Arabidopsis thaliana: one gene and its partner. The protein of the gene in region 2 interacts with the protein of the main gene of each other region in a pairwise test. Each region holds a gene or a part of one and is shown on either strand. Other genes may lie near its edges.

Evidence for each region.
Region 1: the proteins of ABIL2 (region 2) and AT4G26410 interact in a two-hybrid assay, tested with the Arabidopsis thaliana proteins (one large-scale study listed by BioGRID).

The regions. Positions count from the first base shown.
Region 1 is NC_003075.7:13,344,747-13,349,655, reverse strand, and holds AT4G26410 (chromosome-associated kinesin), read right to left. Parts: upstream 3,003-4,909; 5' UTR 2,897-3,002; coding exon 2,654-2,896; intron 2,162-2,653; coding exon 2,095-2,161; intron 1,879-2,094; coding exon 1,801-1,878; intron 1,669-1,800; coding exon 1,616-1,668; intron 1,504-1,615; coding exon 1,367-1,503; intron 1,280-1,366; coding exon 1,215-1,279; intron 1,100-1,214; coding exon 1,041-1,099; intron 955-1,040; coding exon 865-954; 3' UTR 519-864; downstream 1-518. Other genes in the region: AT4G26415 (uncharacterized protein), read left to right, coding at 29-518; AT4G26400 (RING/U-box superfamily protein), read left to right, coding at 3,633-4,703.
Region 2 is NC_003074.8:18,270,249-18,275,954, reverse strand, and holds ABIL2 (ABL interactor-like protein 2), read right to left. Parts: upstream 3,673-5,706; 5' UTR 3,149-3,672; intron 2,613-3,148; 5' UTR 2,549-2,612; coding exon 2,471-2,548; intron 2,206-2,470; coding exon 2,123-2,205; intron 2,033-2,122; coding exon 1,882-2,032; intron 1,770-1,881; coding exon 1,670-1,769; intron 1,602-1,669; coding exon 1,509-1,601; intron 1,425-1,508; coding exon 1,382-1,424; intron 1,293-1,381; coding exon 1,201-1,292; intron 1,125-1,200; coding exon 1,000-1,124; intron 908-999; coding exon 734-907; 3' UTR 513-733; downstream 1-512. UniProt on the Arabidopsis thaliana protein: Involved in regulation of actin and microtubule organization. Part of a WAVE complex that activates the Arp2/3 complex.

The sequences.
Region 1 (4,909 bases), on a different chromosome or scaffold from region 2:
TATCAACTTCTGTTTGTCTGCCGTTAAGGTCAGCAAGGAACGCGTTGAATCAGTACCCACGTTTCTCACTGGACGGTAAGGACGCTATGTACCGGTCATCCTTCCGGCGCCATCTTGGCACCAGTGCTGACATGACGATACAGGGTGGGCGGAGATCCCACTGCGGGGATCAACGGACATCAAAGAGATCGAGCCAGATGAGCTTGGAGACAAAACGCCTGCCACGGACAGTGGCCGGAGAGAGTGTGGTATGGTGCAAGACGGGGGTTGTTGCAAAGCTGATGGGTCTGGAGATGATACCTGTTCCGGACAAGGGAAAATCGGGAAAAGATAAGTTAGGGACTCTGCTCAAGAGGGAGCGTCTAAGGAGGAGAGAACGGACTCTGGACGTTAATGGTCGGACCGGTCCGACGACTGAAGCTTCTTGCTCGTCTGGAGGGTTTAACATTACTAGACCAATCGGAGCAGTTGGGTCGCCTAGTCGCATGGGTGGATGGCCCACAGCCCGTCTCCCATAGACTTACGATGCAAAACTAGCCCATTAAAAACCTTCATGTTATCTATAAATTTTCATTACTGATTGATTCAGTAACTTTCTATGTTTCTCATAAATCTTCTAGACTACATAATTAAGGATTTCCAAACCAAGCACACACATTTTTGTGACTCAATTAATTCTCTCTGAGCGAGAAATCTTAGGAAGCAGGCAAAAACACAGTATACAAGTTCTGTCTCAAGCTCAGATTTTGGTTTCAGACAGAGTTGGATGTTCGATGGACGAGAGTACACTGCGATTCAATTGGAAAATACCTAACAAACTTTGGTTGCGAAAACCCAAGAAATTGTGGATTTGTGTTGGATATATCAGACGGAAACTCCTAGGTCCGACATACCCATGATCCTTTTGTTCAATGCAATCCTCTTCTGTCTCAAAAGCGAAGTCATGGAAGCCACCTAATGATTTACGACAAAAGAATTTAATGAGACGTTCATAGCAATGAAGCTCAAACAATGGGCGAGAAGAAAAAAGTCAGACTCACTTCAGCTCTAAGCTTGATAGCATCCCTTCCAGGAATTTGCCGAAGTCCGTCCATCAAATCTGCAGCGAATAGAACTCTTTGTGTAAGTTGAAATCTGACGTAGTGGCATTATCAAAGATACCATTTGAAGGGAGAAGGGAGAAGTGAGTAAAAATAAATCTTGTTCAAGATTACCAGCAGCTTCACATTCAGCTTTGTGGACGGACTTAGCAAGACGATGTATATCGTTTCCAGAGTTCCTATAGATATAACAGTAGTACCCATATTAACATAAATGATGTCAATAACTTAATAAAAGAAGTGGGAGCGTCCATGTTGGGGCATACATGAGCTCAGAGAGACCACGTTTCATATCCTTCTCTGCTAAAGCCGTCCTCTCAAGCAATTTCCTGCTCTCCTTTTTCATCAAGTCTACAGACATGTTTAACTCCTGAACATGCTTCTCAGCTTTCAAGAATTGTGCCTGAAGCGACGATGATTTTGAAGTGGATGTAAAAATAAGGGAAGGGACACAGACCAGGGCAACTAAGCATAACAACGTTAAGAAATAAATTTGAAGCTGGTATAGTATATACCTCTTCGCTCTGAAATCGGCCTAGTGTATTACGAAACAAGAATCTTCTTGGGCCTGTAAGTCGAACAATAGAAAACCAAATTCATACAAGACACATATAAGTAAAACAGATGTAATACCATTTGGATGCTCCTACGGGAAGGAATCTTGTAAGTTGTAAAAGTGATAAGAGAGTAGAGGTTATACCTCGCATCAGAACGAGACTAGCAGCGACACCAATCCCAATAGCAGCAGCCGGATGCTCTTTTGCGTATATCAATTCGTCTGCGAGGATAACAAAAGCAGCAGAGGATACGAGGATTGATTAATCGGAATGACATGAAGATTCTAGTTTCAGAACACTATAAGATGCACTACAAGTATATATAAAAGTTTTGTGGCAGCTATCTGTTATATCTCAGTTTGATCTAAAATACTCGTTCCTAAGCATTACAGTAGTCTACCAGTATAACTTTTTCACGAAAATTGGCTGCAAGATACCTGTAACTTTACTGAAGAAAGCATTCTCATAGGTCTTATACTGAGTCAAAGCATGTGGAATGAAATCCTGCAATTTCAGAATCAAATGTAAGATTGTATGAGAGAAGACGAAGACATATACATACATCTAATGGAACTGTGATTTCAGCCAGATAGGGTCTACTCCATATCACACATCATTAAGCTACATGAATATCTGATATCATATAAAAACATTGTTTAGAGAATAATCAAGAATGCCTCAGCGATACATTACAGTCTTCTAAACAACCATTTGAAGCAGAATCAGAACCCAGGAAGAGACTAAGATCATTGCCAATAAGTTATAATGGTATGATTCAACAAGATTTTACCCATATGAACAAAAACTAGCACCATTCAATACATAAAACTGCTAATTGGAGAAATATCTGTTCTGAATCGAGCTCATTTCTAGAAATTATAGCTTACGAGATACTAAATTCCACCATATCCATGGTTTGAAATCCTGAAAATGTTTTTTGGTAAACAATCTCGATTCGCAAAAATTGTTTGGTGAACAAAAGAGAGATTAACTAACCTGTATAGAGCGGAACTGAGAGGTAGAATTTTCACGGAGGGAACGAGCAGAACGCATTGCGGTATCCTTCGATTCCTTCACCGTCCGTTGCAAATCACCCACCCATTTCTCTGCTCCTTCTATGGCTCCTTCCACCGATTCAACCACTCCGATCGCTGTATGCTCCATCGCATCAGAAACAGTTTCAGTCTCAATCGCTGGAGCCGAATCATCGGTAACGCCGGTTGCTTCGGTTTCGCTCATCGTCTCCGATTTGCCTTTCTCGCACGGAGACAACGCCTTTTCTCCTTCTTTCAACTTCAACCGGTTCGATTCGGTTCAATTTGATTCCAAATTAGAAGTTGGTTTTAAATGGTTAAGATAGACCCGGCTCCTTTATATATCAGTTTGCGGTTAATGGGCTTTAAGATTGGGTCTGCGAACTATACATTACATTCCCTTTTCTTCGTCTTCATCTTCGTCTTCCTTTCCTCCTTCATTCCTCTTTTCTTCGTCTCCCACCATTTCTGCAGAAGAAGACAAATAAAAAAGCTCTCATTTATCTTCGTGGAGATCTAAAAGAAGGAGGAAGACATTTCTTCCCTCTGGATCTCCAAAAGTAAGAACATTTACAAGGTTTGTTTTTGTATTTGTTTTGTTTTAATTACTCCATGAGAATTGAGAGTTTTCTTTTCATGGATTAGCCCTGATTTCTATTGTTATCTCTTTATAGAGGCAAATTTTGGTTGATCTGTTTATTCGCATTTGCATAGAAAGCTTGCGTTTTGTTGTCTGAAACTTGAGCTAATGATGTTGGTGAAGATGATATTATCCTCTTTTTAGTGAAACTTTTGGGAATACCATTCTCTTTATTTAGATCTGATGAAACAAAGGTCGAAACTTTATAGGTTTGCTTCTTCATGTTTTTTTTTTTGTTGTTCTTCTGGTTGTTTCAGAAACGAGAGGTTTGGGTGGGGAAGGAAAGAAGGAGGAAGAGGCAATGTCAGCTAGGTATTGGTGTCACATGTGTTCACAAATGGTGAATCCAGTTATTGGTGCCGAGATCAAATGCCCCTTTTGCCAAAGCGGGTTTGTCGAGGAAATGAGCCGTGAGATTAATGGCGGCAGCAGTAGCAGTCTAAGGGAGGTTCAAGACCCTGAGATTGATTTTGGTACAGACCGTGCATTGTCTCTATGGGGTCCAATCTTGCTTGGAATGATGAGTAATCCTCGTAGACGTAGAAGGTTTAGGAGGACAGAGTTTGGTGTGGATAATGATGAGGTCAATGTATCTGATGATGTTGATGGAAATGACAGCGTCGATATTGATCGACATCATCATCGTCGTCATCGCCACAGGCAACAAGGTAGAGAGATTGATTTAGACAGAGAGTTTGAGTCTATCCTTAGGAGGAGACGGAGAAGCTCAGCTACTATATTGCAGTTGCTTCAGGGTATTCGTGCAGGGATTGCTTCTGAGTATGAGAGCTCGGATCGAGACCTGTTAAATCAATCAGCTGTTGTTCAGGGTTCAACGAGTTTGAATCAAAACCGGAACAATACTTCTCTTTCTGCAATTGGAGATTACTTTGTTGGATCCAGTTTAGACCATTTGCTTGAACATCTAGCTGATAATGATTCAATCAGGCACGGGAGTCTTCCAGCACGTAAAGAAGTTGTGGATAATCTCCCAACGGTTAAGATAAGTGAATCATTGCAGTGCTCGATTTGTTTGGATGATTTTGACAAAGGAAGTGAAGCTAAAGAGATGCCGTGTAAGCACAAGTTTCACATCCGGTGTATAGTACCGTGGCTCGAGCTTCACAGTTCATGTCCCGTGTGCCGATATGAACTCCCTCCTGATGATGAGACCAAGGTTAATCCTGTAAGACCGAGAACAAGAACTCTAGAGATCAACGTAAGTAATGAGAATGTGGAAGATGATGCAAGGAACAGTAATGTGAGCGAGAGAAGGTTCTCTTTTCCATGGCCGTTCAGCGGATTATTCTCTTCATCCTCTTCGTCATCCGCATCGGCCTCGGGGTCATCTCATCTCGGTGAGAACTCGTAAACTGCTATTCCTCAGCTTATAGTACATAAAATCTTGTTCACTCAGATTGTTGAATACTGCATAACAAATAAACACTTTCGAGGAATGGAATCTTTTCTTTATTTGTATTATAATATCTGATGATCATTTGGGTTTCCGTTAAAAGTATCCCTTTTAATTTAGTAAAATATAAAAAGATGAACACAGGTATTTATGTTGAGAGGGAG
Region 2 (5,706 bases):
AAAAAAAAAAAAAGGATCCTTAATGTAAGCTTTTCTGGATATTATAGCTACTTTATATTCAATCAACCAAACTCTACTTGCCAAAAAAAAAGAAAAGGAATCTCTACTTGACACATGTTTTTGTGAAACTCAACATTGTTTTTTACCATTAGATTACCATATATTTGACTGAACCATAAGATTATTTATAAGTTACGAAACTCAAACATTTTTTTTTTCATTCGATCTCTTTCTTCGTAACAAAGTTCCACCTACAAATGAATAAAATTTTGAACATCCTCACTTTCTTGTTTCTTCGGCATGTGATGCAGATACACCAAGAGCCCGTCATGCATGTCGTATATCCGAAAAACAAAGCATGTCCCGATGGGTGTCAATAGACATGCAACGTAGCATTTACGATTGGTTGTAAATGTATTATGTTAAATTTTTCTCTTATATATGTTAATATGTATATGTCTAATATATATAATATATATCCCTTTGGTGCTAATGATCGAATCTATGACCATAGTATATCAAATCGAGAAGATGTACAGATCGTGAAATTTTATATCTCATAACAACACGAATCATGATTATGACTTTTGTATGGGTAAAAATTCGATGTTTTGGTATAGTTTGTGTATTTATATTATAAAATATAATATAGAAAAATAAAAGAAAAAATAGGAAATCCACAATTTTCCGGTTTAGTAAAGCGCTTGCACAAATAAAAACCGGTATTGGCATTTCAGTATTCGTCCAAGAAAGTGTAGAGAGTGTCATCTTTCTTGGTTTTGCGTCGACTAAGCAAAGCCTTGAGCAATCGTTTGCTCTTGCTCGGTTGTTGCTGCTCTGTTTCTTTCTGGTTATCTTTCTCGAATGCGACTCGGACCGAAGCCGATCTTCTTGGTTCTGATGGATACTGGAAAATGCAAAAGAAGAAGAATCAAGAAGAGGTAAATTGATGAAACACATTTTCTGGTGGAGTTTTGTTCCAATGGAAGCTTTTTATACCCGTATAGGAGTTATAGATCTGCTCTTGCTTGGTGTCGTTGGTCGGCTGATTGATGCTGACTTCCTGGTAGCGACTGATCCAGATCTTAGTAGTGGAAACCGATGCGGTGAAACTGATCTCTTATCTGATTATATCACACGAAAACATGTATAAAGGATCGAGTATCGAGCGGAAAAAAACCAAGCGATTGTGGTGTTTACCTTGTTCTTTCTTTGGAATGGTAGAGGTAAACGAAAAGGTTGCTGATCGTTGAGGTGGTTGCCGTGGAGATGAACTCTGAGATGTTGATTTTCTGCAAAGACAATCAGGTCTCATTGTTTTGTTCTTGTGTTTGAAAATGTGTGTTGTGTTATTTCTTGAGCAAGCGTTTGGATAATTTACCTAACAGGTGGTGGAGGCGTTTCCCGGATTGTAGCACGAACAGCTATAAAAGAGCAAACCAATCAGTTAGTAAGAAATCTTGAATCTTGGATTGTGTACAACAGAAACATAGAAGATACAAACTCACCATTTCGGAATTGGTTCCAATCATCTGCATCCTCTAAACTGCTTCCAAAGTACTTAAGCTTTTCAAGATTTGTAGCAGTCATAATTTCACCCGCTGATAAAGATTGCATCTTAGTGAGTATCGAAAATTTCTAACCCGAGTGCGAGAAAGAGAGAATTTACCGGGTAAGATGTATCGTTTATGGAACTTTGGAGTGTCAATAACAAGTGATTGCTGTGAACGCCCTTCATGATCCATATACTCTTGGCACATTCTTAGCCTCTAACCACCATCCCATTGTTATTTTTCCCAACATAAACACAAAATTACAACTTAGTAACCCCAAAAAGAAACCTTCACGGATAAATACAAGTTTTTAGGAGCTTTTTTATACCTGTTCGATGCAAGATACTCGCAGCTCGGTCTCTGATACTTCATCGACTTTTTCATCGATAAAGTCATTCACTTTATATGTAACAGAGCCTAAATGGTCAACTGTATTCACCAGAGCCTTCACAGCGTAGTCTTTCAGTGTCTCTACAACACTGCACTTAACATGAGAAACAACTACTGAGAAAAACCAAGAAATTTTTTGTGACACAATAAATCTGAAGCGCTGCTTAATACTAACTCACATCTGCTTTTTATCATCGGTTGTGTAAGATAGTTCGAAATACTCGGCTGCTGAATACAACTGCGCTCGCAGATTCTTCAAGTCCTGAGGAAATAAAAGAGCAGAAAACCTTTCAATTAATTGTCAAATAAACCTACAAAGATTTTAGAAAACAAGATATGATTCAGCATTGTAACAACACTTGGATCTTCAATCACAGAGACCATTAATTATCATTTTACTTTTGTCATCGGTTTCACATATAGAAAGATAGTATGTGCTTGGTATTATAGCATTGTCCTTCTAAGTCAGATGGAGATTTGAACAATTTATCAGAAACTAGGCAATATTTTGCAAATTCAGAATCTACCTGAAGACCATCAGAGAAGAGCATACTTTGCTGCATAGAAACCTCATCGTAATTTGAAGCTTCATGTGACGCAGGCATTGTAGCCACTGCAGTCTTCTATTTTTTCAACAGAGAGGAAGATAAACCTCAGTCTTCTTCAAAGCTGTTTCATTCAAGATTTTCCAAGAACACTTGTATATCACTAGTTGTTTTTATTACATATGAACAAAGAAAATGAACAAGGCTTTTACTTTGCTCCATAACTAATCCAATAAGAAGAAACAAACAAACAAGTAGAATCCACAGCTCTCTAAAGTAACCACAGATTTTCTAATCTTTTATTAGTACTCTATTAAAAATTAACAAACAATTCCCAGGGAGAAAGAAAACTGTGTACCAATAGCTGAGACAATATTTTATAATGTACAATGAATTCATCAAGAACAATAAAACACATATGAAACAAGAAAGCAAAACCCAGTCCTGAGGAAACAAAATTGTACCCTAAAACCCTCAAGAACACTAAAAAAAAAAAAGCTTTTAACTTGCTAAATCGAGAGAGGAGAAGTAGTAAAACCAATTCAAAATCACAAGTTAAATCCTAAACAAATTGATGTGTTTAAAAGAAGATAATGAAACCAGTGGACCAAAAGTTTCGACCTTTAAGTGAAATTTAAGATAATGAGAGTGGAAGGAAACCTGTGGAACTGTGATTATTCAATCCAAAACTCTCTCTATTGTTCCTTTAATGGGTGTTTCTGCTCCAAGGAGAGATCCAATTTGTCTGAGAAAAATGAAGATTTTGAAGACAGTTACAGTTCAAATTTGGATAGAGAGAGACAAAGAGAGGAATGTCTATTGATTTAGTTGAGATTTGAAGGAAGGAAGGAAGTGAGTGATGATGATGGTCTTGTCTCGTTGAGTGTTGTTGGTATAGAGACTAGAGAGACAAGTCGAAGAAACAACCTCAGACTTAACCCACTTTGTCCCATCGTTTGCGGAGACAAACGAAACGCGCTCTCTTGCAGAAAAATCGGTAAGCAAATAACCGAATGAACCGAACCGTAAAAACAAAACCGCATCCGAACCGAACTTTTTAAAATAACCGAATAGTTAGTAAAATGATATTGAATCAAATGAAAAAGTTTTATCGATCAATCACATTCCCAAGTCATGGCTTTGTGGATAGTTAAAACTTAAAAGAAACAAGATATTGAATCAAATGCATTAGGTAGTTCGATTGCAATTAAGATGATATCTTGTACTAAGCATTTTGGTTCATTTTAGTGGATTTTAAGTTTGGAGTGATTTTTTTTTTTTTTGGTAGGCGAGTTTGGAGTGTTTTGACTTTTGAGTGGACTCTTAGATTTTTTTTAATAAAGTAGGCATAATAGTGTTTTTTTTTTTAACTAACAAGCTTACGATCGTGTGGTCTGTAACATGAGTATATCTAGGATAACAATTTCATTACATTTTTAACAAAATAACTTTTGAGACAAAAGATAAAAATTGAAAAAACATGCAATGATTAAGGGACGCACGTCTTTGGATAACCATGTAGTTCTTTATTACTTTTTAAAATAGTAACTATAGTTCCATGATTATAAATCATGTTTTTTTTTGAATGAATTTAAAATTTATTCAACCAAAAAACCTTTGTACAATGAATGCAACCTTATTTTAAATGTTATTTTGAGAAAAGATTTGTAAAGAGATTGAAACAACTAGTTCCTAGAGGCGAACCATAACCGAAGTCCATCCTCGTATTTGTGTGGATCCCGACGACGGACTGAAGATAATTTGTTGCGTATCATATATCAAGAAACTTGATTAGTTGAGCTGCAGGTGTTGGGGACTCGCCGTGTCTTTATAAATCATGTTTGTCATGCTCATTATCACTGACAAATTTTGAGTAGTTACTATGGTGGAGCGGTCGTCATTTTGTGAAAATTTATATCATCAGTTATTTCCTATCACCAAACAAACTTTTTGGTGCAACCAATTAAACATGCAATTCATTTTCTTTCAATTGCATCTTTTTTAGTTTAGTCATTTAATACAAAAGTTATGAGTCCCATGTTTAATTCGCTATTTTAGTATTTTGGTTAGCAGTCGGATTTTTCTTCAAATTCTTGCATGTGTGAAACATTTTTTAAAAACTAAAAAGTATTATTTTTCAATAATACTACGGTTTAATAATACTAATTTTTAAAAACTTCTAAAGCGAAGAAAAATTGCAAATAAATATTCACAACTTTTAATTTTTTTGGTAAATTTATTCTCCACCTGCAAAGGCTGCAATATAAGACTCAACTTTAACAGACTATATAACATCATATATATTATAAAACAACGTCGTTTTGGTTAAAATTTGTTATAAAAACATCGTGTGAGTCGAACTTTTGGTCTTGTCGAAAGTCCAAAGATACATTATGCGCTTCTCTAAGAGTAGGCAACATAGGCATTTTTTTTTAAAAAATTTAATGTTAAATTATATTCAAAGAAAAATAAACTGTTTATACATATAAATGCAAACTTTTTTAAAAAAAATAGATCAAATGTGTATCTTATCTATCCTTGATTTTGATCTTGCCTTGAAGCAAACCACACTTGGATTCCTCTTGGGTACTTCTCTTCACCTCTCACCCTTAGCGTGCTTAATCGATTCCTTATGTTTTTGTCGATTAGCCTGATTATCTTCTCCGTCCTCGATGGCGCGTCTCTCCATGTCTTCTCTCATTTCTCTCTCTCCATATAGAATGTATCGTGTTTTGAAACACATACCGAAGCACAATCCTTGTAGTGGCGTCAAGATCTTTACTCACTAACTCCTTCATGATATCTAGCCAATTGTCCGTATATTTGCTAGCTAGTAGTCTTCCCGCCAGTTCACTCCACACCGTTCTCGAATAAGGGCATTGGAAAAATAAATGTTCTCTTGTCTCCAAAGGATAGTTGCAGAGAAGACAGCTAGTACCCACGTTTTTGTTCCATTTCAGCATTCTCTCCCTGTTGCAATTCTATTCTTCACCACCAACCAAGTGACAAACGCATACTTCGGAGTTGCATCCGAGAACCATATCGCTTTGTAGTCCTGCATCTCTGGCCTTGTTGAACGAATCTGCAGCCACGTCTCCTTGGATACAAAATTCTTTCTGTAGCAGTCATTTTTCCTCTCCATAGTGGTATATCATGTTCTGTTTCTCGCCTATTTGTTCGCAGGTTTTGCAGTTCAACTTCAATGAGGTTCACGAAGC